Linked DNA regions of Ovis aries. The protein of the gene in region 1 interacts with the protein of each later gene in a pairwise test. Links are inferred from orthologs where the notes say so. Each region holds a gene or a part of one and is shown on either strand. Other genes may lie near its edges.

The links.
Region 2: the proteins of SEPTIN1 (region 1) and AURKB interact in binary tests that used the Homo sapiens proteins (3 or more experiments, as listed by UniProt). The link is inferred for Ovis aries from reciprocal best matches to the Homo sapiens genes SEPTIN1 and AURKB.
Region 3: the proteins of SEPTIN1 (region 1) and AMOT interact in binary tests that used the Homo sapiens proteins (3 or more experiments, as listed by UniProt). The two-hybrid records come from large-scale screens. The link is inferred for Ovis aries from reciprocal best matches to the Homo sapiens genes SEPTIN1 and AMOT.

The regions. Positions count from the first base shown.
Region 1 is NC_056077.1:27,079,580-27,090,370, reverse strand, and holds SEPTIN1 (septin-1), read left to right. Parts: upstream 1-3,773; 5' UTR 3,774-4,092; coding exon 4,093-4,102; intron 4,103-4,194; coding exon 4,195-4,281; intron 4,282-4,527; coding exon 4,528-4,651; intron 4,652-4,955; coding exon 4,956-5,090; intron 5,091-5,193; coding exon 5,194-5,311; intron 5,312-6,209; coding exon 6,210-6,311; intron 6,312-6,434; coding exon 6,435-6,534; intron 6,535-6,717; coding exon 6,718-6,883; intron 6,884-7,125; coding exon 7,126-7,216; intron 7,217-7,310; coding exon 7,311-7,397; 3' UTR 7,398-7,688; downstream 7,689-10,791. Other genes in the region: MYL11 (myosin regulatory light chain 11), read right to left, coding at 7,963-8,067, 8,157-8,205, 8,721-8,799, 8,915-9,019, 9,245-9,320, 9,573-9,608. UniProt on the Homo sapiens protein: Filament-forming cytoskeletal GTPase. May play a role in cytokinesis.
Region 2 is NC_056064.1:27,650,299-27,661,163, reverse strand, and holds AURKB (aurora kinase B), read left to right. Parts: upstream 1-3,769; 5' UTR 3,770-3,861; intron 3,862-4,108; 5' UTR 4,109-4,132; coding exon 4,133-4,180; exon of another isoform or gene 4,181-5,407; coding exon 5,408-5,510; exon of another isoform or gene 5,511-5,620; coding exon 5,621-5,675; exon of another isoform or gene 5,676-5,886; coding exon 5,887-6,078; exon of another isoform or gene 6,079-6,372; coding exon 6,373-6,511; coding exon of another isoform or gene 6,512-6,521; exon of another isoform or gene 6,522-6,619; coding exon 6,620-6,768; exon of another isoform or gene 6,769-7,440; coding exon 7,441-7,615; exon of another isoform or gene 7,616-7,773; coding exon 7,774-7,947; 3' UTR 7,948-8,081; downstream 8,082-10,865. UniProt on the Homo sapiens protein: Serine/threonine-protein kinase component of the chromosomal passenger complex (CPC), a complex that acts as a key regulator of mitosis.
Region 3 is NC_056080.1:121,855,023-121,865,271, forward strand, and holds part of AMOT (angiomotin), read left to right. Parts: exon of another isoform or gene 1-265; intron 266-3,581; coding exon 3,582-4,071; intron 4,072-8,709; coding exon 8,710-8,854; intron 8,855-9,764; coding exon 9,765-9,857; intron 9,858-10,249.

The DNA.
Region 1 (10,791 bases):
GAACAACTTCTGTGAATTCAGTGTGGCAGGAGTATGCAATCCCATATGATAGATGAGGAAAGTAAGGGCCAGAGGGGTGGTTTTCCCAGGGTTACAGAAAGGGAGTACTAAAAATGAGGCTGAAGGACTTCCCTGGTGGTCCAGTGGTTTTGAATCTGCCTGCAAAAGACGTGTTTGATCCCTGGTCTGGGAAGATCCCACATGCTATGGGGCAGCTAAGCCCGTGTGCCACAACTACAGAGCTCAGGCACTACAACTGCTGAAGCCCACACTCTAGAGGCTGTGCTCAGCAACTAGAGTAGGCCCCACTCGCTGCAACTAGAGACAGCCTGCGTGCAGCAACTAAGACCCAGCACAGCCAAAAATTAATAATTTGAAATATACATATATATAATAAAAATGAGCTTGAAACAAGGATAAGATGTCAGCATGGATGGATCTTGAAAGTTAATGCTAACTGAATAAATTAATAAGTAGAAATATATATTAACACAGATAACTGTGGCTCAACTGGTAAATAATCAATCTGCAATGCGGGAGACCTGGGTTTGATTCCTGGGTTGGGAAGATGCCCTGGAGAAGGAAAAGGCTACCGACTCCAGTACTCTAGCTTGGAAAATTCCACGAACTGTATAGTCCATGGGGTTGCAAAGAGTCGGACACGACTGAATGTCTTTCACTACTACACTACTATTTGTGTAAACATTTGTGTACTATGTACATGTATTACATACATAGTGGAAATCGCTCAGTCATGTCCAACTCTTTGTGGCCCCATGGACTGTACCCTGCCAGGCTCCTCTGTCTATGGAATTCTGCAGACCAGGATACTGGAGTGGGTAGCTGTTCCCTTTTCCAGGGAATCTTCCCAACCCAGGGATTGAACCCAGGTCTCCTGCATTGCAGGCAGATTCTTTACCTTCCGAGCCACCAGGGAAGCCCATTACATACATAACATATATATAACACATATGCAAACACATACAACTATTTCTGTAAACATTTGTGTACCGTGAACTACACATTTTTCAAAATATATACGAACAAAAAAAAAACCATTACACATTGTGCACATTAGAGTGGTTGCCTTAGGATAAAGGAGGGTGCTATGGGGCTGTATTAACTCAGGCTGGCATAACAGAGAACCACAGACTAGAAGTCTTAAACAACAGATATATATTTTCTCATAATTCTGGAGATTGGAAGTCCAAGATCAAAATGCCAGCAGAGGCTGTTTCTGGTGAGGCCTCTTTTCTTGGGTTGCAGACAGCCACCTTCTCACTATGTCTTCACATGGCCTTTTCTCTGTGCATGCGCAGAGATTGCTGGTGTCTTTTCTTATAAGGACACCAGATCTATCCAATCAGGGCCCCACCCTCCTGACCTCATTTAACCTTAATTACCTCCTTAAAGGTCTTACTTTCGAATATAGTCATGGGGGTAAGGGCTCCAACACATGAAGGTGGGAGGGGGGACACAACAGGGGCTAAATGGGAAATGAAAAATAGAACCACAAGGAGTGAAGGACAGAAATGGGGTTGAAGCAATAGGCAGGATCCAGACCAAGCAATGGGCTTCCCTGGTGGGTCAGATGGTAAAGAATCTGCCTGCAATGCAGGAGACGTAGGTTCTATCCCTGGGTCGGGAAGATCTCCTGGAGAAGAGAATGGCTACCCACTCCAGTATTCTTGTCAGGAAGATCTCATGGACAGAGGAGCCTGGTGGGCTATAGCCCATGAAGTTGCAGAGTCAGACACGAATGAATGACTAACACACACACGCACACGCACACACACACATAGACCAAACAGTGCTTTATAGGTCATATTAAGGTTCAGAGAGATCATTCAGTTTATAAGTTCTAAAGTTGGGGTGTGTGTGTGTGTGTGTGTGTGTGTGTGTGTGTGTGTGTGCGCGCGCGTGCGCGTGCACATGCACGCCAAGCAGGAGATGCAGGTTCGATCCCTGGGTCAGGACGATCTCCTGGAGAAGGAAATGGCAACCCACTCCAGTATTCTTACCTGGCCTGGACAGAGGAGCCTGGTGGGCTACAGTCATGGAGTTGCAAACAAGTCAGGCACAACTTAGCAACTAAACAACAACAACAGGTGTACATATATATTAATATATATATGTATATATGGTATGTTGTTTACATAAATGATTAGCTCCAAAGCCTGTGTCATCCAAAATCACTGATTCCTGATAAAAAGTCTAAGTGTGTGCGTTTCATCTTACTATGAAAAAAATGGAGTTCAGAGAGGGCAAATGACTTGCCCAAGATCACACAGCAAGTGGTAGAACTGAGGTCTGGGAAGTTCTTTCTGACTCCAAAGACAAGTTCCTTTTACACATTCTGTAGCCTCCCTGCCTTTTCCCTAACTAATTTCAATCACTCACTCTTTCATGCATTCATTCATCTGGTATATTATTTATTGGCACCACGAAGGCCCTGTGCAAGACACCAGGGATGTAAACATTAGGAAGACATAGTTCCTGCCCTCAGAAAGCTCAGCCAGGAGTAGAAGAGACAGCCAGGTAAGCAAAGGTGGGCATTGGAGGGGCTATGAAAGGTGCTGGCGAGTCCAGAGGACGGAAAATGACTCTTCCTTTTGTGGGTGGGGAAGATTTCATAAAGGAGGAAGAACCCTTTGAATCAAACTCTTGAAAGACAGAGTTCACCTGGTGCAGAAGAAGGAAAAGTCCAATATAGACAGAGCCAAGGGTGCTACCCTGGTGACTCAGTGGTAAAGAATCCACCTGTCAGTGCAGGAGACATGGGTTCCATCCCTGATCTGGGAAGATCCCATATGCCAAGGAGTAACTAAGCCTGTGCACCACTACTGAGACTGCTCTAGAGCCCAGGAGCTGCAACTCCTGAAGCCCTTGCGCCTACAGCCTGTGCTTTGCATCAAGAGGAGCCATCGCAATGAGAAGCCTGTACGTCCCAACTAGAGAGAAGCCCTTGCAGCAATTAAGACCCAGCACAGGCAAAAATAAACAAAATCGTAGACAGAGCCAAGGATGTGGGCACTTGCCAAGGGCGAATCAGAGGAGGTGATGAGGTCAGATGCAGGAGGCTTTGGCCAGGACTCTCAGACTTGATTAAGATCACCGGGAAGTCCGTGAAGGGTTTTGAGCAGAGGAGTGCCTTCGCTAGGATTCTGAAGGCAGACTCTCTGGCAGTAAAATCCAAAGACCTGAAGTCCTTTTTTAAGAATCCAGTGCATGAGCTGGGGAGGAAAATAGATAGTCCCTCCTACCCTCAATCTTATTGCTTTTGGTCCACTCAGACCCTTGGAAATTGTTTAAAATTTTATTATTTTTTAATTAGAAGATTATTGTTTTACAATGGTGTGTTGGTTTCTGCCATACCACAGCATGAATCAGTCATAAGTATATATATATATCCCCTCTCTTTTGAGCCTTCTCCCTACCCCACCCCCATCCTACCCCTCGAGGTCATCACAGAGCACCAGGCTGAAACTGTTTTAAACTGTCTTTATCCAAGCCTTCACCTCACTTGCTAGAGAGACCAACCCACTTCCTTCCTCTCTGCTTAAACCCTACCTTCCATCAGGGTGATGGGGCCACAGCGGGGCTTGGAATAAACGTGTAGAAAAAACAGAGGGATTGAGGCTTCCTATCAGGGTGATGGGCAAAAGGACCCAAGAATCGAGAACCAGCTGTTCTCGATCTTGGTTTTCCCCACTCTCTGGGCCAGTTGGAGCATCTCAGATCCTATACTGCCCGCCCCCTTGTTTGCCGCCCTCAACTTCCTGCCCCACCAGAGGAAGTGGGGAGAGCTATCAGGTGCAGCAACAGCTATCGGGGCCATGGTGAGTCCTTACGCCCAGGAATCCAGGCATCTCTCCGTCCCCAGACCCCAGGGTAGCCAGGTCCAGGTCCACCCACAGTAGGCTGACTTCTCCTAGCCTCTGAGATCAGGTCATACTGGGGGACCCTGCCTGCCACCCCCAGCAGCCTCATATCGTCCACCCTCACCAACAGGACAAGGAGTATGTGGGGTTTGCCGCCCTCCCCAACCAGCTGCATCGCAAGTCTGTCAAGAAGGGTTTTGACTTCACACTCATGGTGGCAGGTCTGAGGGTTTTGGAGAGGGGCCTGGTAGGGGGTCCTCAAGAGACCTTGGCTGTCCCCTCACCTGACCAGCTGGGCTTGACCTGTCCACAGGGGAGTCAGGCCTGGGAAAATCTACCCTCATCAACAGCCTATTTCTCACCAACCTCTATGAGGATCGGCAAATACCAGAAGCCAGTGGTAAGATGCCCCTCTCCTCACCACGCTGCCCACGCCCTCTGACCCCTCTCCTCCCAGACTGCACACTCTTCCTTTCCTTCTGGGTCTCCCATGACATTCTGGGGAACTCAGGCAGCTCACTGCTTTTCTCTGAGACTCAGTCTCCTCCCCTGAAAAATGGGTGGGGGGCAACTGTGAGTCTGAGAAAGGAAATTAGTCCTGCTTCAGACCCCTCGCCAGCTCCCTGACCTCTCCCCATCCTCATAGCTCGCTTGACGCAAACCCTGACCATCGAGCGCCGGGGCGTGGAGATCGAGGAGGGGGGTATTAAGGTGAAGCTGACTGTGGTGGACACGCCTGGCTTTGGGGACTCAGTGGACTGTTCAGACTGGTGAGGAATGGGGGAGAGCCCAGGGCTCAGCTTCCCAGTGTGGCTACTCTGAGATCGAGGGGTCGGATTCAGGGCTGGTCTGCCCTGCCCTACTCACGTCCCTGCAACAGCAGGAGCTGTTTCTGGTGGTCTTGGGGCCCAAAACGCCTTGTGTTTCCCAACATCTCACCTGCCAGTTCCCTCTGACATCTTTGGTTGAAGCCAAAGACCCTGCTTCTCACCCCCACAGTCCTGGCTAGCTTTGCCCCCTGCCCTCCACTGCGGTCCAGATCTCTGACTGCCGGCACTCTCCCTGCACCCCCAGCTGGCTGCCTGTGGTGCGCTTCATCGAGGAGCAGTTTGAGCAGTATCTTCGGGATGAGAGTGGCCTGAACCGGAAGAACATCCAGGATTCCCGTGTCCACTGCTGCCTCTACTTCATCTCACCCTTTGGCCGGGGGTCTGTGGGACACCCTAGGGGGTTGGGACATTTGGGGAGGGCGGGGGGCGGGGGGTGGGTCTCTGTGCCCTGAAACTGAGCCCTGATGAATTTCTGGGTGCAGGCTCCGTCCCCTAGATGTGGCCTTCCTCCGGGCGGTGCACGAGAAGGTCAACATCATCCCGGTCATTGGCAAAGCAGATGCCCTGATGCCAAAGGAAACACAGGCCCTCAAACAGAAGGTATGTGTGGTGGCTTCTGACCTTTGGTCTGCACATGAAGCCAAGTCATGACAAAAGCTGAACTCAGCTTTGACTTCTTTGATCTTGGGGTAGCCTTTTCGGAGCGTGATGTGTCAGGCTAGACTGGAAGAAAGTTTTTGAGAAAGGTGGGTCATAAGCTGCCTCAGGAAGCCACATCTCTGGAGGCTCAGAATAGAATCCCTGGGCTGGATGCTTGGCTAAGATCTGTCTGAGGGCAGGAGTATGGACATAACGACCCATGTTATCCGTCTGGCCCCAGGATGCTCACCATGCCCCCATTTCCCCACTTCTTCAGCGCCCTCTCCCACTGTTTCCACTTATGTCTCTCTCTCCTGGTCTTTTGGTGTCTGCTCACCTTCAAAACTTCCCAAACATCAGTCTTTTCCCTCCTAGGGTAAGGTCTCAGTTTTTCATCCTCTATGTCTCTTTCATGGAGAAGGCAATGGCACCCCACTCCAGTACTCTTGCCTGGAAAATCCCATGGATGGAGGAGCCTGGTAGGCTGCAGTCCATGGGGTCGTAAGAGTCGGACACGACTGAGCGACTTCACTTTCACTTTTCACTTTCATGCATTGGAGAAGGAAATGGCAACCCACTCCAGTGTTCTTGCCTAGAGAATCCCAGGGATGGAGGAGCCTGGTGGGCTGCCGTCTATGGGGTTGCACACGACTGAAGCGACTTAGCAGCAGCAGCATGTCTCTTTCATCGTCTGAGATTTTGTTTTCAGTCTTCCTGGATGCCCATCTCTCACCATCTTTGTTTTTCACGCCTTCCTCTCTGTCTCTTTCATCCTGTGTCTGTATCTAGATTTCACTGTCTCTGGTGGCCTTTGTGGCTCACAGCCTCTGTGTTTCTGTCTGCATTTGTCTCCTCCAAGATCCGGGAACAGTTGAAGGAGGAAGAGATCAATATTTACCAGTTCCCCGAATGTGACTCTGATGAGGATGAAGACTTCAAGAGGCAGGATGCGGAGATGAAGGTACAGAGGCAAAACAGGACAAGACTGAGAAGCCAGGGGAGGCGGATGTGGAGGTGGGAGCTGAGAAAGGTTTCTGTCCACGGGAAGGGGAAAGGATGGAGATCGCTGACTCCTCCGCTCTAGGAAAGCATCCCTTTTGCCGTCGTCGGTTCCTGCGAAGTAGTGCGGGATGGCGGGCCCCGACCGGTGAGAGGACGCCACTACTCCTGGGGCACTGTAGAGGGTAAGTTAAGGCCGGGTACGCGTCCTGAGGCCAGCAGGGAGCCCAGGCCGCCTCCCAGCTAACCGTACCCAACATGTGAAGTTGGGGAAAGTTCTGGTCCCAGGGGTCCTAGGAGCCCCAAGAGAGGTCCTTGGGCAGCCCACCCGATCTAAGTTCCCTGACGCTCGCGGGTCCGCCCCCCAGTGGAGAATCCACATCACTGCGATTTCCTGAACCTGCGACGGATGCTCGTGCAGACACACCTGCAGGACCTGAAGGAGGTGACGCACGACCTGCTCTACGAGGGCTACCGGGCCCGCTGCCTACAGAGCCTGGCCCGGCCTGGGGCGCGGGATCGAGCCAGCCGTAGGTGAGAGCCAGCGCGGAGAGTTAGGTGCTTCCAAGGCCCCACCCTCCCTCTCCATGACCTCGACTTCACCTTCTAGACCTCTCTCCCAGGGCCTTTCTTTCCCCATCCCCTTTGCTTACCTCCCTAACCTAAGGATATGGCTCCGCATCTTAGACTCCAAACTAACTCCAGATCCTGTCTTGCAGCGATGACTCAACCAAGGCCCTCGCCTTTGATTCCTTGCCTTCTCTCCCATCCCCTAGTAAGCTTTCCCGCCAAAGCGCCACAGAGATCCCGCTGCCCATGCTGCCTCTGGCAGACACGGAGAAGTTGATTCGCGAGAAAGACGAAGAGGTGAGATTTCCCCCAGACCAAGACTCCCAAGTCCTCTTTGGAGCCCCTCTCTGGCCTCGTCCGGACCCAATGCCTGCAATCTTGCCCCGCACAGCTGCGCCGCATGCAAGAGATGTTGGAGAAGATGCAGGCCCAGATGCAGCTGAGCCAGGCTCAAGGCGAGCAGTCCGACGCTCTCTGAGGCCCCCATCGGGGCTTTCTCTACCTCGCCTCCGCCTTCGGTTCGTCTCTTGTCCAATCCCTGAGCCCCAGGCTGCCAGGCGCCTAATCCCGGAGCCCCAGCCTGTAAGGCCCGCCCTTCAAAGGGGCGGGTTCTCAGGTTCTCCCAATCCTGGAATTTGTAGCCCCGCCTTTGGCTCCGCCCGAGCTCACTTCTGGAGCGCGACCTCCTCTTCCAACCCTGAACACCCGCATCCCCTCCCCACTTCTCCCTATCCGTGACTTCAATAAAAACTGAGTTTCTCTGAGGGCACGCAAGTCTTCTCTTTCCCAGCGGGAATAAGTGCGAGCTTAGCGGGTGGAACCGCTCCACCCAGGCCTCCGGGCCACCATTTATTAATTCATTTGCTGGGCACTCCTTTCGTGCCAGCCGGTGTGTCTGCCCAGCCTCCCACCTGAATCCCATTCACACAAACGCACTGAAGGCGCCGCGGATAAGAAACGAGACCCTTTCAATTTATTAGTCTGGGTGGGGAGATCGGACTGGCAGGAAGGCTTTGACTAGCAGAGGCCGAAAAGGGTCCGCTCTACTCCTGGTCCTTGGCGTCGCCATGCGTGATGACGTAGCAGATGTTCTTGTAATCTACGTTGCCGCCCACGTCGGGGGGGAAGGCAGCCCACATGTTCCTGATCTGTGGAAAACAGGCAGAGTATCACCAACTGGTTCCTTACGTTCCCCTTCCCCCATCCTTCCGCTTCTCCAGACCCCTCCTCCACTCACCTCTTCCTGGGAGAAGCGGTCACACTGCGTGGTCAGCAGCTCCTCCAGGCTGGAGAGAGGTGATTGATATACGGGAGGTTTGAGACTGGACTTCGTGATTCCTTTCCACGCCCTCCCACCTCATCCCCCTTGCCATTCCCAGTCTCATCTTGAAAACCAGGGTCACTCTGGATTCCTCATTGGTCTCCCAAACACTCTGACCTCCCGTTTTGCCCTTCTTCCTGTGTTCCATCGCCCATTTCCACAGTCCTGATTTTTCCCTTATCCCTGTGCTGTGCGGTGCTTAGTCGCTAAGTCGTGTCCGACTCTTTAAGACCGCATGGACTGTAGCCTGCCAGATTCCTCTGAAGAGTTTCTCAAGGGATTCTCCAGGCAAGAATACTGGAATGGGTTACTATGCCCTCCTCCAGGGGTTCTTCCCAACCCAGGGATCAAACCCAGGTCTCCTGCATTGCGCAGGCAGATTCTTTACTGTCTGAGCCACCCTTATCACTGGCAGTGCCTGTTATTGGTGGGAATTGAAAGAGGCTTTCTGTGTGGGAGCAGCTGGAGCGTGTCACTTACAATTGCTTCTTGATGGTGCCTTTTCCCTCAGGGTCTAAGACCTTGAAGGCTCCAGTGATCACATCCTCAGGGTCGGCACCTAGAGGGGGTCAGAGGGCACATGTAGCTGAAAGGTTGCTAAAGGGTCAGTCCCTGAAAGTTCTGAGGAGAGGCAGCTGAGGTGTTGGACCAAGGACACATCATACTTCATTCACCTTTGAGCTTCTCCCCAAACATGGTCAGGAAGACAGTGAAGTTGATGGGCCCACTGGCTTCCTTCATCATGGCGTCTAGCTCCTCATTCTTCACATTGAGACGCCCTGGAACAGGGTTGGGAAAGCAGGGGCTGGAGTGGGGTCTTGCAGCCAGAGAATAATGCTTCCTATAAATTCAGATCATCCCATCCATTTTTATTTTTTTATCCCATCCAATTTTATCCGGGATAGACTGAGTCCCAAGGTGGCCTGGCAGGACTGGGACCCACAGCTGCTGAACTCCCAGGACTCTGCAGCCTTGAATCTTTACAGGTAGAGGAGGCAGCTCACCCATGGCTGCAAAGGTGTCCCGCAGGTCTTCCTTGTCAATAATGCCATCCCGGTTCTGGTCAATTACTGTGAAGGCCTGTGGAGGGCAGAGGCAAGGAGAGATTAGGTCTCCCATGGCCAAGTTTCAGCATCCTTACTCCAGGCAGATCAGATTCTGAGATTCTGGTTGCCAGCCAGAGGTCCTCTTACACTCCAAGCAGGGAGGGGAGTAAGGAATCTAAGCCCTTCTCCTTCCCCCAAACAGGTGCACATTCCAGGGAGGGGTGGGGGGAGGGGCAGCAAGGGGTGCCTTTGGTTAGCCTTCAGTCTCCCTTCTCCCCACACTTACCTCCTTGAACTCCTGGATTTGGGTCTGATCAAACATGGAGAAGACATTGGAGCTTCCGCCCTCTGCCGCTGCCCTTCTCTTGGCCTTCTTGGGTGCCTGAAGGGTGAGGGTTGGGCAGAGGGGTTCGTGGACTCATCCTTACTCCTCTGGAGGTGGTGGATTCTTTAAGTTCATTCTTCTAAAGCAACTCTTCTGGCTCTAGGCTTCCCCTTCCTTACAACTCTTTGCTGAGGGGACTTGTTTCAGTTGGATTGTCAAATTTCTATCTGAAGCCCTCAAGTACCCATCCTTCCACCCTGCCCAACAAGGGAAATGTTTCTTGCCTTCTGAGTGCCCTGAGCCTGGCTCCTCTGAGTCCTAGACTTGCTGTGTGTCCATGATCCACTTATTCACCTTGTCTGAACCTCTACCTTCTCATTTATAAAATGGGAATGGGAATCCTGGCCTGGCTGGTTCCAGGGGATATAGGAAGGTGAAGGAGTGTGCTTTCAGAGGGACTGGGCTCCTGAGAGTGGAGTGTCTGGGCAGATTATCCTTGGTTGGGTCCTTTAGGGCATCCTTCTATATATTCCCCATTAACGATACCAAGAAAGGGAAGATTCATCTTTTCTCCTCTTGCCAGACTTGGAACCAGCTCCTTTCTTTCAATGGGTGAGGCTGCCCTGAAGTCTGAGAAATCTGATCTTGGGCTGGGGGATTCTCACTCACCATGTTTTAGGTCTCCTGGGATCAAGGCAGCAGCTCTGGCTGGAAAGGAGCAGAGAGTCCGTCTGGAGCACTCCCTCTGGAGTTATATAGTCTTGCCCCAGGGAGCCCTTAACATACCACTGTAACCTTAGCCCTGTGGGTGCCCACCCCAGATACGAAAATAGCCCAGCTCAGGGCCTCTCCTTTCTTGGAGGGCCAGCAGCAGCTGGAGCCTACCGAGGGACAAAGGAGGGAGGGTGTCTTGGGCGACATGTCTTGCTAGGACCTGGGCAGGAAGGGATGTTCTTTCTCCCCAAAGGAAGCTGGAATGTGCCAGTGTTCAGAGAGGGCCCAGGCTGAGACACAGGACTAGGAGAGAGAGGAACCAAGCTCCTGTATCCCTGCAAGGTTTAAACCCAGTAAATTTATTAAGCAGCAATAGTGTACCAGGCACTGGACCATACTTCAGTCTCCCTTCTCCCCATATTCACCTCTGAACTCCTGGATCTGGGTCTGATCAAACATGGAGGCG
Region 2 (10,865 bases), on another chromosome or scaffold:
AAATTTGGAAAACTCAGGAGTGGTCACAGGACTGGAAAAGGTCAGTTTTCATTCCACTCCCTAAGAAAGGCAATGCCAAAGAATGCTCAGACTACTACACAATTGCACTCATCTCACACGCTAGTAGAGTAATGCTCAAAATTCTCCAAGCCAGGCTCAGCAATACGTGAACTGTGAACTTTCAGATGTTCAAGCTGGTTTTAGAAAAGGCAGAGGAACCAGAGATCAAATTGCCAACATCCGCTGGATCATCAAAAAAGCAAGAGGGTTCCAGAAAAACATGTATTTCTGCTTTATTGGCTACGCCAAAGCCTTTGACTGTGTGGATCACAACCAACTGTGGAAAATTCTGAAAGAGATGGGAGTACCAGACCACCTGACCTGCCTCTTAAGAACCGTGTATGCAGGTCAGGAAGCAACAGTTAGAACTGGACATGGACCAACAGACTGGTTCCAATTAGGAAAAGGAGTACGTCAAGTCTGTATATTGTCACCCTGCTTATTTAACTTCAATGCAGAGTACATCATGAGAAATGCTGGGCTGGAAGAAGCACAAGCTGGAATCAAGATTGCTGGGAGAATTATCAATAATGTCAGATACGCAGATGACACCACCCTTATGGCAGAAAGTGAAGAGGAACTCAAAAGCCTCTTGATGAAAGTGAAAGAGGAGAGTGAAAAAGTTGGCTTAAAGCTCAACATTCAGAAAACGAAGATCATGGCAGCTGGTCCCATCACTTCATGGGAAATAGATGGGAAACAGTGGAAACAGTGTCAGACTTTATTTTGGGGGGCTCCAAAATCACTGCAGATGGTGATTGCAGCCATGACATTAAAAGACGCTTACTCCTTGGAAGGAAAGTTATGACCAACCTAGATAGCATATTGAAAAGCAGAGACATTACTTTGCCAACAAAGGTCCATCTAGTCAAGGTTATGGTTTTTCCAGTGGTCGTGTATGGATGTGAGAGTTGGACAGTGAAGAAAGCTGAGCGCTGAAGAATTGATGCTTTTGAACTGTGGTGTTGGAGAAGACTCCTGAGACTCCCTTGGACTGCAAGGAGATCCAACCAATCCATTCTAAAGGAGATCAGTCTTGGGTATTCATTGGAAGGACTGATGCTGAAGCTGAAACTCCCAATACTTTGGCCACCTCATGCGAAGAGTTGACTCATTGGAAAAGACCCTGATGCTGGGAGGAACTGGGGGCAGGAGGAGAAGGGGACGACAGAGGATGAGATGGCTGGATGGCATCACCAACTCGATGGACATGAGTTTGGGTGAACTCTGGGAATTGGTGATGGACAGGGAGGCCTGGCGTGCTGCAATGCATGGGGTCGCAAAGAGTCGGACACGACTGAGCGACTGAACTGAACTGAACTGCACTGGAGGCAGATTGGTGGTACTCACTGTGGTCCACAGACTGGTGCCACTTCGTGAAATATTACTTTCAGGTTCAGGATGAGTAGAGAATTTGAGAGTTAGGTATTTTTAAAACTGTTACAGCATTTGTCAGAGTACTTTTATAAATACTGTGCTATACTGTGCGTAGTCGATCAGTCGTATCCAACTCTTTGCGACCCCATGGACTGTAGCCTGCAGAGCTCTTCTGTCTATGGGGGATTCTGCAGGCAAGAATACTGAAGTGGATTGCCATTATAAATACTAGTTACAACCAAAAAATATGTCTTCTTGTAATTTTTATATTTTTTATACTTTTTCAAGGAATTTATTTTTAATGTAAGTTGTAAAAGCATCAATTTGTGATAGATTGCAAATAATTAAAAATGGTTCTTCCCTACTGATCATTTGCGAAGCACTGGGGTAAATAATGGAGATTCTGTTCACTAACTTGAACAGGCAGCTGATGGTTGCCTAGCTGCCAGAGCAGATAGGTTTTGTTTTGCTTCGTGTTTTATGAATAACACAAATCTCAATTTTGTGGTGGCCCATCAACTATTTCTGAAAGGCCAGATGTCTTCTGATGTAATGTGCAGGGGGAATTTAAAGACTCCAATGGACAGAGAAACTGTATGGGGATCCATCAGGGATATCCCACCCATGCACAAGGTCCCTGACAGGCTCTAGAAAAGTCTTTCACTAGGTTATGAGGGATAAAGTATACTGCAAGTGATAGGATTTTTCTAAAGCTCTTTACTAGCTAGTTACTCTATATGTGGCACTAAAAAACTCTAAGGCACTGAAATTGAAATGGGATCTCTGATTCTGGGAAGTGGTGTTGGGCTGACCCTGAGTGAAAACAGCATCACATTTCCAGAAGCAAAATGCTTTTTTCACTGGTGGCCATATTCATCAAATCTCTAGAGACACATCATGCACAGATTTACAACTTTAAAAAAATCATGGGCTCCCAACAATAAACCTGTAAACAACTGTGGCACCCTGCAGTTTCTACCGCTGCAGGTAGCTGTGGCTACCTGAGGCTACCACTGTGGCCCCTAGCTGCTCTAACTGTAGCGGCTGGAAGACAAAGTTACTTTGTCAGCTGCCTTTGCAGTAGTCATGTGATAGGGAAGGCCCACACAGCAGGAGACGGGAGTTGGACTCCCTGTCCCGGGGATCCCCTGCAGCAGGACATGGCAACCCACTCCAGTATTCTTTCCTGGGAAATCCCATGAACAGAGGAGCCTGTGGGCTATGGCCCATCGGGTCACCAAGAGTTGGGCCCCAACGTGTGGCTTCTGGGGATCTTAGTTTCCCCACCAGGGTTTAACCCTGGCCCACAGCAGTGAGAGCATCGAGTCCTAACCACTGGACCACCAAGGAATTCCTATATGAGGACTTTTAGAAGCCTTCTGCTTTTTCTGTTAAAAGAAACAGAGACAGTTGGCATTCACCTTGAAGTCGGAAGGGGAATGTTAAGAGAATCACAGAAGAGGTCAATGCAGACCTCTTACATTGTTCAGTTCCTGAGCCAGCTACCTACTTTCTGATTTATTGTTGTGGAAGAGAAAATAGATGTCTGTTGTGTGTGCCATTGGTAACTGAGTTTCCTGTTACTTGCAGCCAAAAGCGTTGTGAACTGATGTAGAAACTCATTTGGATTTATTTAATTTACATTGGGTTGAATCATGTGAAATTAGTGTTTTCTGTGGGTCAGATGATTGTCAGTATCGCATCATTCAACCCAAATAACTGTTAACTCTCTAGATCTGTAGATGCGTATCGGTTAGTATGCTTATGACAGCAAATACCAAAACTCGTAACTTAGTGAATTAGGGAAGGAGATGGATTGGCTCATGGAAGAAAACCTAGTTGCTTTTTTTTTCTCTCTCTCTCTTTTCGCTCAGTCATGTCCGACTCTTTGCGACCCCATGGACTGTAGCCTGCCAGGCTCCTCTGTCCATGGGATTTCCCAGAAAAGAATACTGGAGTGGGTTGCCGTGTCCTACTCCAGGGGATCGCCCCGACAGGGAGTCGAGCTCGCGTCTCCTGCTTTGGCAGGAGGTTTCTTCATCGCTGAGCTACCACAGAAGTCCAGTTCATACATATACACAAGAATAAATTCCAGGTTATATTGATGACTTAAATTTTAAAAACAAAACACCAGTAAGACTATTCGAGGCTTGAGGAAAACTTTTCCCAAGTTAAAACCCTGGTTGCCCCGGCTCTCATTCCGCCTTTTCCATTGGGCCTCTGGAGCTACGTCATGGGATAATTAGCCAATGAGAATTGGGCATGGGCGGCAGGCTCAGCCAATGGGACCCGGGCGGGAGATTTGAAAGGACCTCGGCGGGGGTGAGGAGGCGCGGCCGGACGGATTCAGTTGTTGCCAGCGGTCAAGGCACCACGGGTTTCTTTCGGGATTCTTGCTCCGGGAGAGGCCAGGTGATCCGGCAGGTTGGTTGCTCTAGGGTGGAGAAAGGGTCCTGGAAGGGAGTGAGGCCGGTAGCAGGGTGGGGGCGGAGAGGCGAGTGCGGGGATGCGCTCTGATGAAGCCAGCTTTTGGACTTGCTCCCTTTCACCAGCAACTCGCCCCCCCCCCCACCCCAGGCAAACACTTCCGGCTAGATCGATCCGACCCCTCACTCTCTCTCCTTTTTTTTTGTTTTTGCTTCTCACGGCTCTATTTCTCTTCTCTGCCCAGTTCCTTCCCCCTTTCCCTCTACGGATGGCCCAGAAGGAGAACGCCTACCCCTGGCCCTATGGCCGGCAGACGGTAAGGGCTTTCTCACTTCCCCTCTCCCCATCAGCATGGCGACTTCCTGCTTGCAGATTCGAGATCCTGCAGAGGGCGATCCTCTTAGCACTTTTCTTCTGGCTTTGCACCAGCGCATGGGCCCCAGTCAGGTCATTTGTAGCCTCATCCTATCTGGTGCTGCCAGTTTGAATTTGACCAGCCTGTGAGGACCTCTGCAGAGCTGAGCCTACTTGTCACATACAAATGGCGTCTGGGACTGAGCAGGCAGGGTCTAGCCTATTAGGCCATGAATCTCAACTGTTGTCCTGAAAAAATAGGCTAGGCAGGAAATAGATATAAGCTATTTAGATGAGTTTATAACTTTAAAAGGTCCAAGAGAAGTCTTACTTAAGAATTTGGATTTTAATGACCGGTGTGACATATGCGTCTAAAAAGCTTTATTTTCCAGTTGTCCTAACACCTTTCATTGAAGAATCTACCCTCTGATTTGAAATGCTAGCGTTATTGTATATATTAAATTCCCATATATATGTGGATCTATTTCTGGACTCCATTTTGTTCAACTTGCTTATTTGTAAATCCTAAATTCGCTGTTTGTGAACAAGTCTGTAGGAGCACTGAGGCTCTCTCTTGGTTAAAGAAGAAAGAAGGGGCCCTACATGAGCTTTGTTCTCTGTTAGTGGGGCTTGAGTATCCTGGAGGGTCCCTCTATCCCCTTGTCCACCAGCTCCCTCCCCGGTGAAGCTCTGAATGGGGAGGCTGAATGAGATGACACTGTCATGTCTACACCAGTCACTCCCAGAAGAAAGTGGTGTGTTACTCAGAAGTTGACAGTGACAGTGCTCCAGGACAATTAGAATAGCCTTCACTTTCCCTAAAGCCTGTTGTTGCAAAGCGGTAAATACTGAGATTTGCTGAACACTCAAGGCCCCAAGGATCTTATCTGAGCCTTAACAGACCAAGCTTAGGGAACTGTGAGAATACCTCTGTTCTGAAGCTCCTTGAATTGTGGGTGTTCATTACCCCAGCCTCTACTGCCCTTTGGGGTAGGGGGCTAGGTAAATGAGTGGTGTTATGGACAAGACTGAGTAGCAAAATTGTGGCCTCATTGTTCCTCTTTGAACTGGGGATGGGGTGGGGTAGGTGGGTGGCTTTATAGCAAGCCCTGAAATGCTGCTTGTAGCGCATTCCAACCCGGTCACTGGGATAAAGGCACCCTCAGAGCTCCCCTCTGGTCCTTCTCAGGCTCAGCCTGGCCTGAACACCCTGCCCCAGAGAGTTCTCCGGAAGGAGGCTGTCATCCCATCGGCGCTTGTCCTCATGAGTCGCTCCAATGCCCAGCCCACAGGTAAACTAGCACAAAGGGAGGGGACTGACCTGAGGGAACTAGGGTCTGCAGAGGGTGGGTGGGGATGAAAATGTCAAAGGATGGCCTCAACTTCCCTGTTCTTTCCTTAGCTGCCCCTGGCCAGAAGGTGGTGGAGAACAGCAGTGGGACCCTCAACATCCCAAAGTAAGCTCCCCAAGCTTTGAGGTAGCAAGGGACGGGGTGGAATAAAGGCAGGAGGAGGAGGGATGCAGGTGAGAAAGCCTGATCCATCCTCAGCTCCCCTGGAAGAGAAGCAGGATTGCAGGCAGGAGGGGCAGAGGTCCAGAAAGAAGGCAAACACCTCAGAGGACCAACTAACCACTGCTCAGCTGCTCCACCACTGCTTCCCAAACAGGCGTTCCTTCACAATCGATGACTTTGAGATTGGGCGTCCTCTGGGCAAAGGCAAGTTTGGAAATGTGTACTTGGCTCGGGAGAAGAAAAGCCATTTCATCGTGGCACTCAAAGTCCTCTTCAAGTCTCAGATCGAGAAGGAGGGTGTGGAGCACCAGCTGCGTAGAGAGATCGAAATCCAAGCCCATCTCCAGTACGCTCAACGTCCCCTGAGCCAGAGCCCCTGCCGCCCCAACCCCACTCCTCCTCCAACCCCACCACATCTAGACTGTCTTCTCTGTAGCTGTGGCCACGCAGCCCCAATGAGCTCTCAATCCCAGCCAGAGCCTTGAATCCAGAAAATCACCTCCGGTCCCCAATTAGGACTGCCAACTGGCTTCCCCTACCTGGCCCAGACCTGACCCAGTTTGCCCCAATGCGACCTGTCATCTTTCCCATTTCCTTAGGCCAGAATGCAGCCTGATGCCTCCTCTGTCTCCTCTCCCAGACATCCCAACATCTTGCGTCTCTACAACTATTTCTATGACCGGCGAAGGATCTACTTGATTCTGGAGTATGCCCCCCAGGGGGAGCTCTACAAGGAGCTGCAGAAGAGCCGAACTTTTGATGAGCAGCGAACAGCCACGGTCGGGGCGGGTGGGCACCTGGGGCACTGGCAGGGGCCTGGAGGCTGGGGGATGCCATTTGCCGCCTGAGGTCAGTCCTCTTCTGACTGTCTGCCATTGGCCCCCCAGATCATGGAGGAGCTGGCAGATGCTCTGACGTACTGCCATGCAAAGAAGGTGATTCACAGAGACATCAAGCCAGAGAATCTGCTCTTGGGGCTCCGGGGTGAGCTGAAGATTGCTGACTTTGGCTGGTCGGTGCATGCCCCCTCCCTGAGGTATGGTGGGCCAGAAGGCCAGCCCTGGGTATGAAGCCATTCAAAATAAAACCACTTCAGATCTTGTTACCCAGAGACATTTTGGGTTGTTCTCATGTAAATATATAGACACAGCAATATCTTTACAAAAATAGGAGACTTTGGGAGTTCCCTGCTGGTCCAGTGGTTAGGACTCCAGCTTTCACTGCAGGGGGCCCAGGTTCAATCCCTGGTCGAGGGAACTAAGATCCTGCAAACCGTGCAGCGTGGCCAAAAACAAAAATAGGAGTCTCAGTTTTGTCACTCAGATTTCTCACTTGAAACAATGGGACCTTCTTGCCATATCACTGAGAATACTCCCACATCATTTTTAGTGGCTTCATAGTATTGCACAGTAGAAATGTAATGTGATTAAGCAACATGTGATTGATGAACATCTGAAATTCTTCCTATAATTCTAAGGTGAACGTTGCCCTCATATCTGATTTATTTTAAGGTACGGCCCTCAGTGTGGAAATGCAGAGTCAGTGTGCTAGCCCCACTCCTACCCCAAAGACCCCATCAGAGCCTGGTTGGAAGACCCCTGGCACATCCTGTGGTCGGTCTGGGCTCCCTGTCAGGCTGCAGGGAAAGGAGGGAAAGTCTGGATCTGAGATCCCTGCCCACTCCCCCTCTTCCCCCGCCCCACCCCAGGAGGAAGACAATGTGCGGCACTCTGGACTACCTGCCCCCAGAGATGATTGAGGGGCGCACGCACAATGAGAAGGTGGACCTGTGGTGCATCGGCGTGCTTTGCTACGAGCTGCTGGTGGGAAACCCGCCCTTCGAGAGTGCTTCCCACAATGAGACGTACCGGCGCATTGTCAAGGTGGGAGGCTGGCCCCCGGGGTCTGGCTGGAGTTTGTGCCAGCTCAGGGGCTGGGGCAGGGAGTGGGCACACTGTTGCTGTTGATGTTAAACCCTGCTAATAGAGTGGGAAGTGGAGGCAAAAGCAGCTAGGATGAAGCCTGTCTCTCCTTCTTGCAGGTGGACCTAAAGTTCCCTCCTTCTGTGCCCATGGGAGCCCAGGACCTCATCTCCAAGCTGCTCAAGCATAACCCCTCAGAACGCCTGCCGCTGGCCCAGGTCTCTGCCCACCCTTGGGTCCGAGCCCACTCTCGCAGGGTGCTGCCTCCCTCTGCCCCTCAGTCTGTCCCCTGAAATGTCCCTGTCCTTTTCTCAGTTGTGTCTGTGTCTGTATATGTGTAGCCAGGAGGAGGGGGGTCCCAAGTCTGTTTCTGCATCTGTCTTCTACCTCCTCTTTATTTAATAAAGGCTGAAGCTTTTTGTACTGATGAGTGTAGATGTTTACATGTGGAGACTGCTGTGAAGGAAGTCATCACCCATGGGGAGGAGGCGAGGGAGTTGCCCATGCTGGGCAGTGGGGTGGGCACTGCATCATCACCCCTGGGAACACCCCTCAGCACTGAGAGCAACCTCTCAGCTCTAACCTCATCTGGTCAGCTCCCAACCATCCTACTTCCACATCTTTCCTTTCCCCTGCTCTGGCTCCCAGGCCTGGGGATGCTGGGGACCTGGCTCTACTCTGCTATGCCTGCACATCAGCCATCACCAACCATCTCCACCCACCTTCTATTACTCCCTCTTAGTTGACCTCTAATCTTTCCCTTTCCTGGGTCAGTCTTGCTGACCTAGGAGCAATTAAAGTTGTCTTCTTGTTTTGTTTTTCTGCTCTGGTGAGGATTTAGCACAGGAGTAAATAGAAGCTGATGGTGTCTTGTTCCTGACCTATGGGAAACTTGTTCCCATAGTTTCACTGCTATGTATGATGCTTGCAATATGGTGCCTCCTATAGGTTTTGTTCTTTTGTTTTGGCCACCCAGAGCAGCATGCACGATCTTGAGTTTCCCTGACCAGGGACAAACCCATTCCCCTTGCAGTGGAAGCTTGGAGTCCTAACCACTGGACTGTCAGGGAAATCTCTTGCTATAAGTTCTTGATACATGTCTTTTATTAGGTTAAGGAAGGCCTGGGCTCTTCCTAGTTCATTAAGGGTTGGGTGTTTTTTGAAGCATGAATAGGTGTTGAGTTTCACCTAGTGCTTTTTCTGCATGTTTATTTTTTGTACTCTTAAGCCATGTGGTGTAGAACATCAATAAAGTTTCTTATTTTTATTTCATCTCAGATACTCGGGCTATATTCAATTCCTAGGGCTACTGTAACAAATTACCACAAACCTGGGTGGTTTTAAACAGCAGAAATGGATTCTCTGACAGTTCTGGAGGCCAGAAGTCCATGATCAAGGTGTCAGTAGCACCACCTTCCCATATATGCCTCTAGGGGAAAATCCTTCCTTGCCTTTTCCATCTTCATGTGACTCCAGGCACTTCATGGCTTGTGGCTACATCACTCCAAGCTCTGCTTCTGTCTTCACACAGCCTTCCTTTCTTTGCCTTTCTCTCCTCTGTCTTAAAAGAACACTAGCAATTTGATTTATGGCTCACCTAGATAATCCAGGATAATGTTATTCACAATCTGTAATTATATCTGCAAAGACCCTTTTTCCAAAAAACACTGCATTCATTGCTTCCAGAGGTTAAGACACTGACATATCTTTTAGGGGGCTACCATGCAACCCACTACATATGCGCACAGATTAAAATAATTGAAGGACAGTATAGGGCTTAAGAAAACGAAAAACCAACAGTCTTCCCATTTCTCTCTCCCCAGAGACAAATCCTTTTACAGTTTTGCTTTGTTTTTGGTATTTACTTTGTATCTCCAAATCACATGCTTCTGTCACTACCTCTTTACATTTTCAGTTTTAGGCTTTATCTATCATTTTCCTGATACAAAATGTAAGTATTTCATTCTTTCACTCCACTGCCACCAGAAACAAGGGCGTTTTCTGTCCCTACATCCTTCTGGTGTAGTTATAATTTTGGTTAAGATTTATTCATCTGACAATAGTTACTGAGTGCTCTCTGCAGCCCAGGTACTGTTCTAGAGGCTGAGGGGTGAATAAACGAGAAAAAAAAATCCTCAACTCAGGAAGCTTGCAAAAAGTGGTTGCAGTTGTAAACAGATTGTAAGGGGAGGCCTCACTAAAAAGATGTTTGAAAAACTACTTGAAGGAGGAAAAAGGTGAACATTTTTCTTTGTAGTTGTTCAGTCACTAAGTCATGTCTGACTCTTTGCAACCCCAGTAAAGAGTTTACCTGCAGCACACCAGGTTCCTCTGTCCTCCACTATCTCCCAGTTTGCTCAGATTCATGTCCACTGAATCCCTGATGCTATCTATCTCATCCTCTGCTACCCTCTTTTTGCTTCAGTCTTCCCCAGCATCAGAGTCTTACATCAGGTGGCCAAAGTATTGGAGCTTCAGCTTCAGCATCAGTCCTTCCAATGAATATTCAGGTCTGAATATTCCTTTAGGATTGTTTGGTTTGATCTTGCGGCCCAAGGGACTCAAAGAGCCTTCCCCAGCACCACAATTCAAAAGCATCAGTTCTTTGGCACTCAGCCTTCTTTATGGTCCAACTCACATCTGTGCATTACTACTGGAAAAACCATAGCTTTGACTATACGGACCTTTAATATACTTTGTGGAATCGGCCTCAAAAAAAGGGGTGGACCGAGGGGATGACGTCCCGGGGCAAACGCCCTCTGAGCGGCCCTCAGGCCTCCGACTGTCCGAGGAGGAAGAGGCAGAGAACTTTTGGGGCGCGAGCTGCCACCCATTTGCTCTTACATTTGCAAGAGCAAATGTAAATCCTTGAGGCGGCAGCATGTCTGTCTTGTCACAGGAACAGTGAGAAGACCAGTGCCTCTATGGCAGGACCAGTGAGAAGAGAAGGAAGAGAAGAGATCAGAATGGTACCAGGGCTCTGACCTTAAGGGCTATTAACTAATTGAATGTTCTACCTAGTGGCAAAATCACACACCATCCTCCAAGAGGAGACACTCAAAACCTGGTGGAGGGGGCAGGAGACAAGAGAACAGAGGAGCAAATGAGAATTCTGGTTCCATCCTAATCAACTAAGGTGCGATTCAATCCCGACGGTCCAAGCAGGATATGCTACTTTCATCCCAAGAATCTCTTTTAGGAAACCCAATTC
Region 3 (10,249 bases), on another chromosome or scaffold:
AAATCAAATCCTTTCTGTTTGTAAAGCAGCCACCTCCTTTCAGTTGTTGACATCGTGCCCAGATCTGAGGTTTCTTGAAATCCTTGTTTAGTGGAATCTAAGGGTGACCTAACTCTGTAGCTTAGAGCGGAGTTGGTTGTGCAAGAGAAACAATCAGGAATTTGCAGCTCTCTCCAGGCTTCAGAGAGTGACCATCACAGAGCCTGGGAAAGGCAGTTTCTGTGGGGAGAATAAATTGGGTTCCAGGCTGTTGGCACCTGATCTGGTGAGAGGGTGTATGGGGGAGCATGCATACGTGTAGGCTAGGACTGTCTTGCGTGCATTGGGGGCTGGGGTGGGGGGTTGGGGTGACATGTGTCTGGGAAGAGTAGGGGCTCCAGTCAGTGAGGGGGCAGGGTATAAGTTGCAGTGTCAACTCGATTGCTTTCCGTTTGTGTCCTCACAAGCTGTCTCTGGGTGGGACTTTTCCCTGGCTTCGGGGAAATGCTGATTTTGGTCCCTGGCTTCTGTCCCGCATGTCTGTCAGGTCTTCTTTTCCACAGAGAACCGGAGGCCCAGGTTGTCTTAGGAAGGAGAAGGACAAAGGGAGGGAAGAGGCAGGGAGGCAGGTCAGGGCTTCCATGGGATCATGTGATTCTGTTGTCTGCACGCGCCTTGTTGTTCCTGGTTAATATGTCAGTGGAAGGAGCTGGGGAGAGTGTCACTCACCCAGCTGACACCCTTATTACCATTATTACAATTACTCTATCTTGAGTGTAGGTTTGCTTCCTCTGACATTTCCCCCAGCTCTCTCCCACACCCGTCGTTCCTCAGTCCCCTTCTCTCAGGGGGGAATTCACACAAGCATTAATACTGTTCTGCTTTTTCATGGTGGGCGGATGCTGAGATCCAGATGGAGTTCGTTGGCTGGAGGGCTTTCTCTTCTTTTACGACTGCCCAAGCCTTGCTTCGTGTTTGCAAACCTGCCAGGGTCGGACTGCCTCAGTTTTCCCAACATCATGGTGCACGGAAATCTGCTTCCTTTTCCAGCCTGGGAAATGTGAAAGGCAGCTGCCGCTTCTCCATTTATCTCTAGGCACAGCCCACAGTCGTGGCCATGGCCACTGCCATTCTGGGCTTATCCAACTCTGGAGCCTCCTTCCAGGCACGTGTGGTCACCCCTTCCACAAGGCCCCTGCAAGGCCATGTTCTGTCCAGGGCATGGGGAGGCCTTTCGGTCTACAGGTGGGAGAGAGGTCAGTGGCTGGTCTGTTTGAGAGAGAGGTCTAGGTTGCTGGTAGGACCCAGGGGAGCTGAGGGGAGGAAGCCCAGTTCACAGCTGGGCATTCAGTCTTTAAAAGAGAACACCTCCCAGGCCTTGGGTTTACACATCCTGGCAATGAGGATGAACGTTAATATTGTCATTTTCCCCTTAAAATTTGAGGACTGGATTAGAGAACATGAAATTTCAGCCCCTCTTTTCTGCCTGAGACATAAGCCCTAACAGATCCCAGGATGCCATAGTTTAACTCGGGTTGGCCAAAAAGTTCATTCAGGCTTTTCTGTAAGATGTTTTGAAAAACTCAAATGAACTTTTTGGCCAACCCAATTTATAATAGCTCTTACTCAAAGTGGAAGGAGAGTACATAGTCCATTTAACCTCTGAGGAAACTAAAGATCCACAGTGTGAAAAATGGAGACAGACTCCCCCCACATAAGTTTATAAACAGCTCCCATGCTTCTGATTGCATAAGTGCTTTGAACTCTCAGACATAAGGGTTATGTAGGGTAGCAACTTTCCAGTCGTCATCATGAAAACCATGTAAATTCTTCTGTCCACAAGTAGTTTGCCCACTTCAGTATTCAGCAATTATTTATAGTGACAGATACATGAAATTGGAAGAATGTGGGTACACCAGAGCCACTGATGGGGCTGAGCAACAACCTTCAACTTGAATAGGTTTGAGGGCTCTGGTGAACATCTGGGTTATTGGGTATGTGTGAGCAAGTGTTTGGAATGGTTTTGTAGTGGTAAAAATCCGTCATAGTAAGGATCTCTTGTAGTGATAGATAAATAAACAGTAATGATAACTGGAGTTATGTGTGGGAGGGAATGTGCTTTAGCATCAGGAATGCCAGTTAAAAGTTAATTGCTCCTGATGATTTGTCCCAGTTTCGCCACAAATTTTATGCAATGTAGTGCAAAGATTAAGTGGATATCCCATAAGTAAAATCACTAACAGGGTCAACCATTCTCATTGGGAGGTAGATATGTGACTGTTTGTAATTCAACACTGAGAAGAGCCCAATATTTTAGTAATTCTTTTGTGACCTCGGGAGCAAAATAGGCTCATGCAGATGAAGTAACTTGAGCAAGGTTACACAGCTAGTAAGCAGTAGGAAAGGTCTCCAAACTCTGTTGGGATCCAAATCCTGTGCTCTTAGCCATCTGTCTTCCCTGGATTGAGAAATAACAACTGTAGGACAGGCATCCACTGGATGTGGGAGTATATTAGGTTAACTGGGCAGGGGCAGGGAGGTGAACATTTTGTGTGTGTGTTTGGTGTATACTGACATATTCTTCCTGGTTGTGGCAATGGTGGAAATAATCAATTTGCATACACTGTTTCCATTAATGGCTCATAGTCCAGTATTAGGTACCAAAATGGAAAAGTCACATTAAACCATGTGCCAAAGTTCTCTTTCTGGAACTTTCTATAAGTAATAGATTGGGAATCTGAACATCACTACAAATCAGTGCATTTTATTTAATAGTAGTGGAAAGAACCTGAAAATGGCATTTAGCTTCTTCTACCCTGGCACTGCTTCTAACTCATTCTATAATATTTGGCAGAATACTTCTCCTCTCTGGACCTCAGTTTCCCCCTCTGTCCACTGACAGACTTGGACTACATAATTTATTTAAGGCCTTTCCAGTCGTTACATTTTGTGATTCAGTACATCAAAATTGTATGATAGTGTTACTTATAATCCCTTCCAACTCTTGGAATTATTGCTGCTAAAAAACATCATTCAGTTATTAACAACTCTCATCAACAATAATTATTTGGTGTCTCTAATATAGTAAGTACCTGTATATCCTCAGGTAGTTTTTTCTGACTATATGAATTATCAAAGAGAGTTGCAGATAACAAGATGAGGGGTAGATTTGATGACGGTTTGCTCTTTCCTTCTGGGCAAGTGGAACGAACTTTCTGTGACTCTTTCTGTGTGCAGGGCCATATACAGGATGCCAGAAAAAGCTTAGTTTAAAATCATGAGGTGACAATTACGTTGTCAAAGGCGCATTTGAAATGCTTAGACTTGAGAAACAAGTGTATAAGGATGCATTACTTTGATTTTCACAAAGCAACCTTTGAGATCATCTGATCTGTCCTCCATAGGATCACACCTCTGTGGGTCAGGTATTGAGAGGAGGCCAGGTGTGGAAGGGACTGGAGAGGTCTTGGGAGAGACCTTGTAGTCCAACCCTGCCTGCTCCTCATTTTGCACCTGTTCTGGGGGCCCAGAAGCCTCCACATCTCCCTTTCTTGTGCCTTCAAGTGGGAGTTTAACCTGAGTACACCCTCCGTGTTTTCCAGGCCAACACAGGACATCTCATTGCCTTTGTCAGCCCGGAACTCTCAGCCTCACAGCCCTACTTCTTCCCTCACATCTGGGGGTTCCTTGCCCTTGCTGCAGTCTCCACCATCTACTAGATTGTCTCCTGCCCAACACCCCTTGGTCCCCAGCCAAGGAGACCACTCGGCTCACCTGCCTAGGCCACAGCAGCATTTCCTTCCTAACCAGGCTCACCAGGGGGATCATTACCGTCTCCCCCAGCCTGGCCTGAGTCAACAGCAGCCACAGTCACACCATCACCACCATCACCAGCAGCAGCAGCAGCCAGGAGAAGGCTATTCCGCTATGCCACGAGCTCAGCAGTCGTCTGCTTCATATCAGCCAATGCCAGCCGACCCTTTTGCCATTGTTTCCAGAGCCCAGCAGATGGTTGAGATTCTCTCAGATGAGAACCGGAACTTGCGGCAGGAGTTAGAAGGATGCTATGAGAAGGTGGCGAGACTGCAAAAGGTGAGACCTCCGTATGGGGCTATTTGAGTCTTTTTGAAATCTTATTTGTTTAATATTGATATAAAAGTGTCCACTTGTGGGTCCCTGTATGACATATGGGCGGGTCTTCAGGATTCTTATATCTGAAGGTTAGATGGAGCAAACTTTAGAAAAACCTTCTGCCTCTCTAGAAGTAACATTTCACAGAAACCATAGCCCCCAAGAAAGCTTAACTGAGTGTTTGAGAATTACAAAAGGCAGGGAAACTGCTTCAGAAGGTCAAGAACACTGGAGAGGGCTCTTTTGGAGAAGTACCTGCCAGCATAAAGACTTTTCCTTTTGATTGCATTTTTCCAAATACAAAGTACTGAATTTGAATCTTAACTATAAATCCATAGTTCCCAGAAAAATCTCATCATTGAAGTTAGATCCTGACCTGCCTTGTTGTGGAAAGGGCCTAGAGTACTTTTCCAAGTGGTAGTTTTCATTGTAACTTTTTCAATGCCCTTTACTTTCCCCCCTTCTTGTGTTGGTCCTTCCCTTAGCTCAAATGAAACATCTGCTCTCCTCTGGTGTGTGTGGGGAGCAGGAGGGGTTTAGCACACCACAGATGGGTGACATGTGACAGCCCGAGGCTAAGGAAGTAGCAAAAGAAGTGTATGTCCCAAGTTCACATTCTTCCCTGGGCCCCTCCTGAGTCTTTTGCAGCTGGGACTTTAGGTCTTGAGTGCCCTAAGCTAGGAACCTTAGCTCTTAGCTTCCTGTGGCTGGTGGTGAATAGGGTTCTGCCTTTGGCAGCCTCTTTGCAACTTCTGTCATTGTGGAGCTCCTTTGGTTTGATCTCCCAGACAATGCAGACTGCTCAGGGATGTGAGGATGAAGGTGGAGGAGGGAAGGGAGGTTGCCTGGTATTGTTCAGTAACTCTGTCCTCAGGAGACACCCAACAGTGGAAATTTCAGGGGCCTGAATGAAGCTAACACTGTGTAAACACCAGATCTGAGTCCTAAAGGAGAGGAGGGCTTATTATCAGCTAAGTATTTTTACGGAACAAAAAAAATGCCTTTACCGCGCCTAATGTTCCCAAGTCTGGATGGATGGGGGTTGTTGAGTGAGAAATGTTTCTTACTGGCTTTGCCCCCAATTTAAAATTTTCCCTCTTCTCTCATACCTGCCCCTGTCCCATCACATTGGTACTCACACACTATAAGCAGACTGGTCCAGTTCGGCTGATTAGGTTTAACAGTTGACAATGCTCCCTAAACTCTTATTTGTGGTGGCCCTGGCCCCATCTTTGATATAGTAAATAAAGGGTGAACCCAGATCTTCTACAGACTCTCTTTTCTAGAGGATAGTGATTTTTTTTTTTTTAATGAGGGGGAAGATGGGTGGCAGGGAGGTGGAGCAGAAGAGTCTGGGTTGTTTTGTTCTCCAATATTGGGAAAGATGCCTCAACCAAGTGCAACTGGGACAGCTTGAGTGCTGGGAGAAGTGAAAGCTGACCCAACACTGCAGTGGGTTAGAGGCACAGGTGGGTTAGAAGAGGACAAATGAGGGGAATAAGGTAGATGTCAGCTGGTGCTGGGAAAAATAAGAAGGCCTGAGGCTCATGAGGGGAATAAGTAGATAGAATCAACCTGGAAACCCACCACCATCCTCTCTCTCCCCTCACCTCCCACCACAGACCAAACCGATGGATATGCCCTTCTGTGTCTCCTTTTCCTGTTGACAGATGTACAACTTGCCCTTTTAGTGGGGGCAGTATCTACAAATGGTATTGGGAAAGGATTGGTACAATGTCTTGAAATAGTACTCTGAACAACTTGAGTAAAGGGGCTGCCTTCCATGAGGATGCGGAATAAAAGGAACCCTTATACACTGCCAGTAGGAAGGGAAGGTAAATTGATGTAGCCACTATGGAAAACAGTATGGAGGTTTCCCAAAAAACTAAAAATAGAACTATCATATGACTCAGCAGTTCCATTCCTGGATGTGTATCTGAAAAAACAAAACATTCAAGAAGATGCATGCACCCCAGTGTTCATAACAGCATTGTGTACGATAGCCAAGATATGGAAGCAACCTAAGTGTCCATCAACAGATAAATGAATAAAGAAGATGGAATACTGCTCAGGCATAAAGAGAATGAAATTCTGCCATTTGCAACAACATGGATGGACCTGGAGGGTATTATGAAAAGTGAAATAAGTCAGAAAAAAAATACTGAATGATATCACTTATATGAGGAATCAAAAAAATACATCAAACTAGTGAATATAACAAAAAAGAAGCAGACTCAGAGATACAGAGAACAAACTAGTGATAACCAGTGGGGAGAGGGAAAGAGGGAGGAGCAACATAGGGGGAGGGGAGTAAGAGGCACAAACTATTAGGTATAAAATAAGCTATAAGGATATATTACACATCGCCAGCTTCCCTGGTAGCTCAGCTTGTAAATAATCCACCTGCAATGCAGGAGACCTCATTCAATTCCTGGGTTGGGAAGATCACTGGAGAAGGGTTAGGCTACCCGCTCTAGTATTCTTGGGCTTCCCTGATGGCTCAGATGGTTAATAATCCACCTGCAGTGTGGGAGATCTGGGTTCGATCCCTGGGTTGGGAAGATTCCCTGGAGGAGGAAACGGCTACCCACTCCAGTATTCTGGCCTGGAGAATTCCATGGACTGTATAGTCCAGGGGGTCACAAAGAATCAGACTGGACTGAGCAACTTTCACTTCATGAGGAATATAGCCCATATTTTATATAAGTGGAGTATAACCTTTAAAAATAGGGAATCACTATATTGTACACCTATAACTTCTACAGTATTGTACACCAAATATACTTCCATAAAAACATAAACAAAGGGGACTGCCTTCCAGGTGTGGCACTCCGTGGGGCACTAGAAAACCTTGTACTCTGAAGACAGCCCAGAGCAGACCAGCACCGAGCCTGCTCTTTCAAATAGAAATGTTTATTTTCTCTACCAAGCACTTGAATTTCATGCAAAAGCTTTATTGGGCTCAGGCCTTGCAGATCTTGTCTCTAAATGCCATTCACCAGTTTTCACCTTCTGTGCTGCTATCTTGGTACCATCTGCAAGGAAAAAAGCATTCTCAAGTCTGCTCTTTTCTGTGATGTAAGCTTCATTTGTTTGCAGGCAGTCCCGCCTCAGGCATCATGCTGGAGCTGGGGCAGGTACAATCGGAGTTGTTTGGTAACCCCACCTTTCCCTGAGTCTCTCACTGGGCGGGGGGAGGGGTGCTAATATTTCTCCCCCTAAAGTAGCCTGAGCTTTGTTAAGGAGGATAGTGAAAAGCTGAGAAGGAATGCAGAATGGTTGCAGGAGTCAGATTTAACTTGAAAATTACTTAATAGGCAGTGGGGTTTACTTGTCTTATACAAATCATATGCAAATATCTCTGTGGTTGTGACATGTACAGTGAAGCTCTACTGGTTCCACAGAGACTCTAGAGTCAGATTTCTTATTTTCTTCCCAATTCGGGCTAATTCAGGGCGGGATCCTTTCTCTTTGAGGTTGTGTGTGTGTATACATTGTGTGTGTATGTGTGTGTTTACCTTTTACAAGATTTGCTGGAGTGTCATAAAACACAACTCCAATCATGAATTTCTGTTAAAAAATCTGTTACGGTGTCCCATTGACTATGGGATAAAGTCCAAATGCCTGGCATTAAAGCCCTTTTATGATCTGACTCCAATCTATCTTTGCAGCCAGATCTTACCAGCTTCTCCCTGTGTACCCCACAGTGTCCAGCCAAATTAGACTACTGGTCATTCTGGGAATGCATTCACTCACTTAGAATAGAATACCCTTCCCCTCACCTCTGCTCATTGAAATTTAACCCAGCTTTCAGGATCTGACTGTAAATACCACCTCCTCCCTGAAATCCTCCTCTCCCTTCACCCCCAAATAGGAACAACCTCTTTCTCCTCTACAATTTATAACACTACTCCAACTTTTCTTAATAACATATTTCTCCTGGTATTCTTTTACTTGATTAGATTGAAAGCTTCTTGAGGGCAGCTGTAATGTCCTTATTCATATTTACACACCCCACAGTGTTTTAAAGAGTTCCAGTAATTTTTGGCCCCTGGTAAATGTTTGTTAAATTGAACTGAACTAACTAATGAGGCTAAGTCTTAGGGTTTTTAGTTTTCATCTCCGTCTCTGCCTTCTAGTAAAAGGCCATCTCAGTCTTCTCTTTCCTAAAATGGGGGAGAGGTATCTTGTGTAGGCCAATATCAGCCCAGATCGAAATAAACATATAAAAACCCTTTGAATGCTTTGCAGTAACTATATACATTATTATTGTTTTCTAAATTAAGAAAGGAAAGGAAAATCATTTGTAACTATACTTATGAAATTTATCCTCTCCTACAACCTTCTCTGAAGACAGATAAACATATTTGTTTTTAACCTAAGGAAATCTTGGGGACTGGTGAGTTAATTACTGAGCTTGAGGTTGAACTTAGAAATTTTTTCAGGAAACTTTTCTTATCTGACTGTGTTATGATTGCCTCCTGGCCATCCATAAATCCCTGGGAGAAGTTGTCATTAAGGATTTGCATATATGTTTTCAGATCTTCTTCCCCCATCCACTTCCTACCATCATCACTGTCTTTCATTTTTGTTGTTCAGGTGGAGACAGAAATCCAGCGAGTCTCAGAGGCATATGAGAACCTTGTCAAGTCATCCTCCAAAAGAGAGGCCCTGGAGAAAGCTATGAGAAACAAGCTTGAGGGCGAGATTCGGAGAATGCATGACTTCAACAGGGATCTGAGAGGTGAGAGAATCACTGAAAGGCATCAGTCAAGAGGTTGAAGGGAACAACAAGGTCCTACTGTAAACAACAAGGTCCTACTGTATAGCACAGAGAATTATATTCAATATCCTATGATAGAAAGGGATGTCAGAGCCTACCAGTACCTCTAGCAGTCAACAAAAAAAGTCCCTTTGATAAACTTCAGTGAAAAGAATATAAAAAAGAATGTGTATATAGATATAGATATATCTCAGAATCACTTTGCTGTATAGCAGAAATTAACACAACACTGTAAACTATGCTTCAGTTTTACTAAGAAAGGATGGTGAAGGGAAGGGCTAAGCTAAGGAACACATGGTGAGGCTTCTAGGTCTTGTCCAGCCCACTGGGATGGTCAGCAAGTTGCAGAGCATAGACAGGCTAGGTTTTTGCGACTACAGTCGTGTCTGGTCCTAAGCTTTCTTAATTAAAGGGGGATGAACTGATATGTAAATCAGACGGTATTCCTCTCAGGTCTCCTGGACCCAGTTGGCCTGCCCCCATAGTCTATGCTACTTGTCTTCCTTTCTGGCTTTAAAGATTTTATAAAGATTTAAATTTAAACATTTTATAATAACTCTGGTGCTCTTTTTTTCCCAGTGAATGAAAAATATCATATATTCAGGGACAGATTTCTTGGACGGAATCTAGAAATTTGGACTTAGGTTTTGTCAGTGAGGACTGAAAGTGTTAAAGTACTTGCCTCCTACTTTCCCGTCATGGTCTAGTGTTGTTTTGGGATCCACGTTTGCAAACCTTTGTCTGTGTCACCCCTTCTTGTGTAATAAGAAGAGACAGGCTTGTTTTGCTCAAGATCAGTATTTAGAGGGCAAATAGCTCGTGCTTGGAAGTTTGTCCTCAGGGCCCTGTTGATTGTCTCCAAATTCCACAGAGCGTCTGGAGACGGCCAACAAGCAGCTTGCAGAGAAGGAATATGAGGGGTCAGAAGATACCAGAAAAACCATCTCTCAGCTCTTTGCAAAAAGTAAGTCTGAAAGCTTCAGCAGCAGGTATTCATGTACGAGTGGGAGTGAGGTGTATGAAAAGGTTATGCAGTTCTATATAGCCTCCTAAAACAGCCAGGGAAGAGTGAATGTCATATAAGGATTCTTTTTCCTGTTTAAGCATCAAGTTGAGAGATTGTTTTTTTCCTTCTGGCCATGAAGGCTGCTTGCCACAACATCGAGTCACATCAACATAACTCCTTCTGTATTAAAATAGAGAAGCCCCTTGGAATTCTGGCTTTTTGTCATAGCTAGCTGAAAAGGACCTTGGTAAACTTGAGATCCCTTCATATTGAAGGGACTTATCATTGAAGGCTGCATCTGCTGGTTCTGGAAGAGATGAGATTACCACGTGGGACTGAGACAAGTGCTT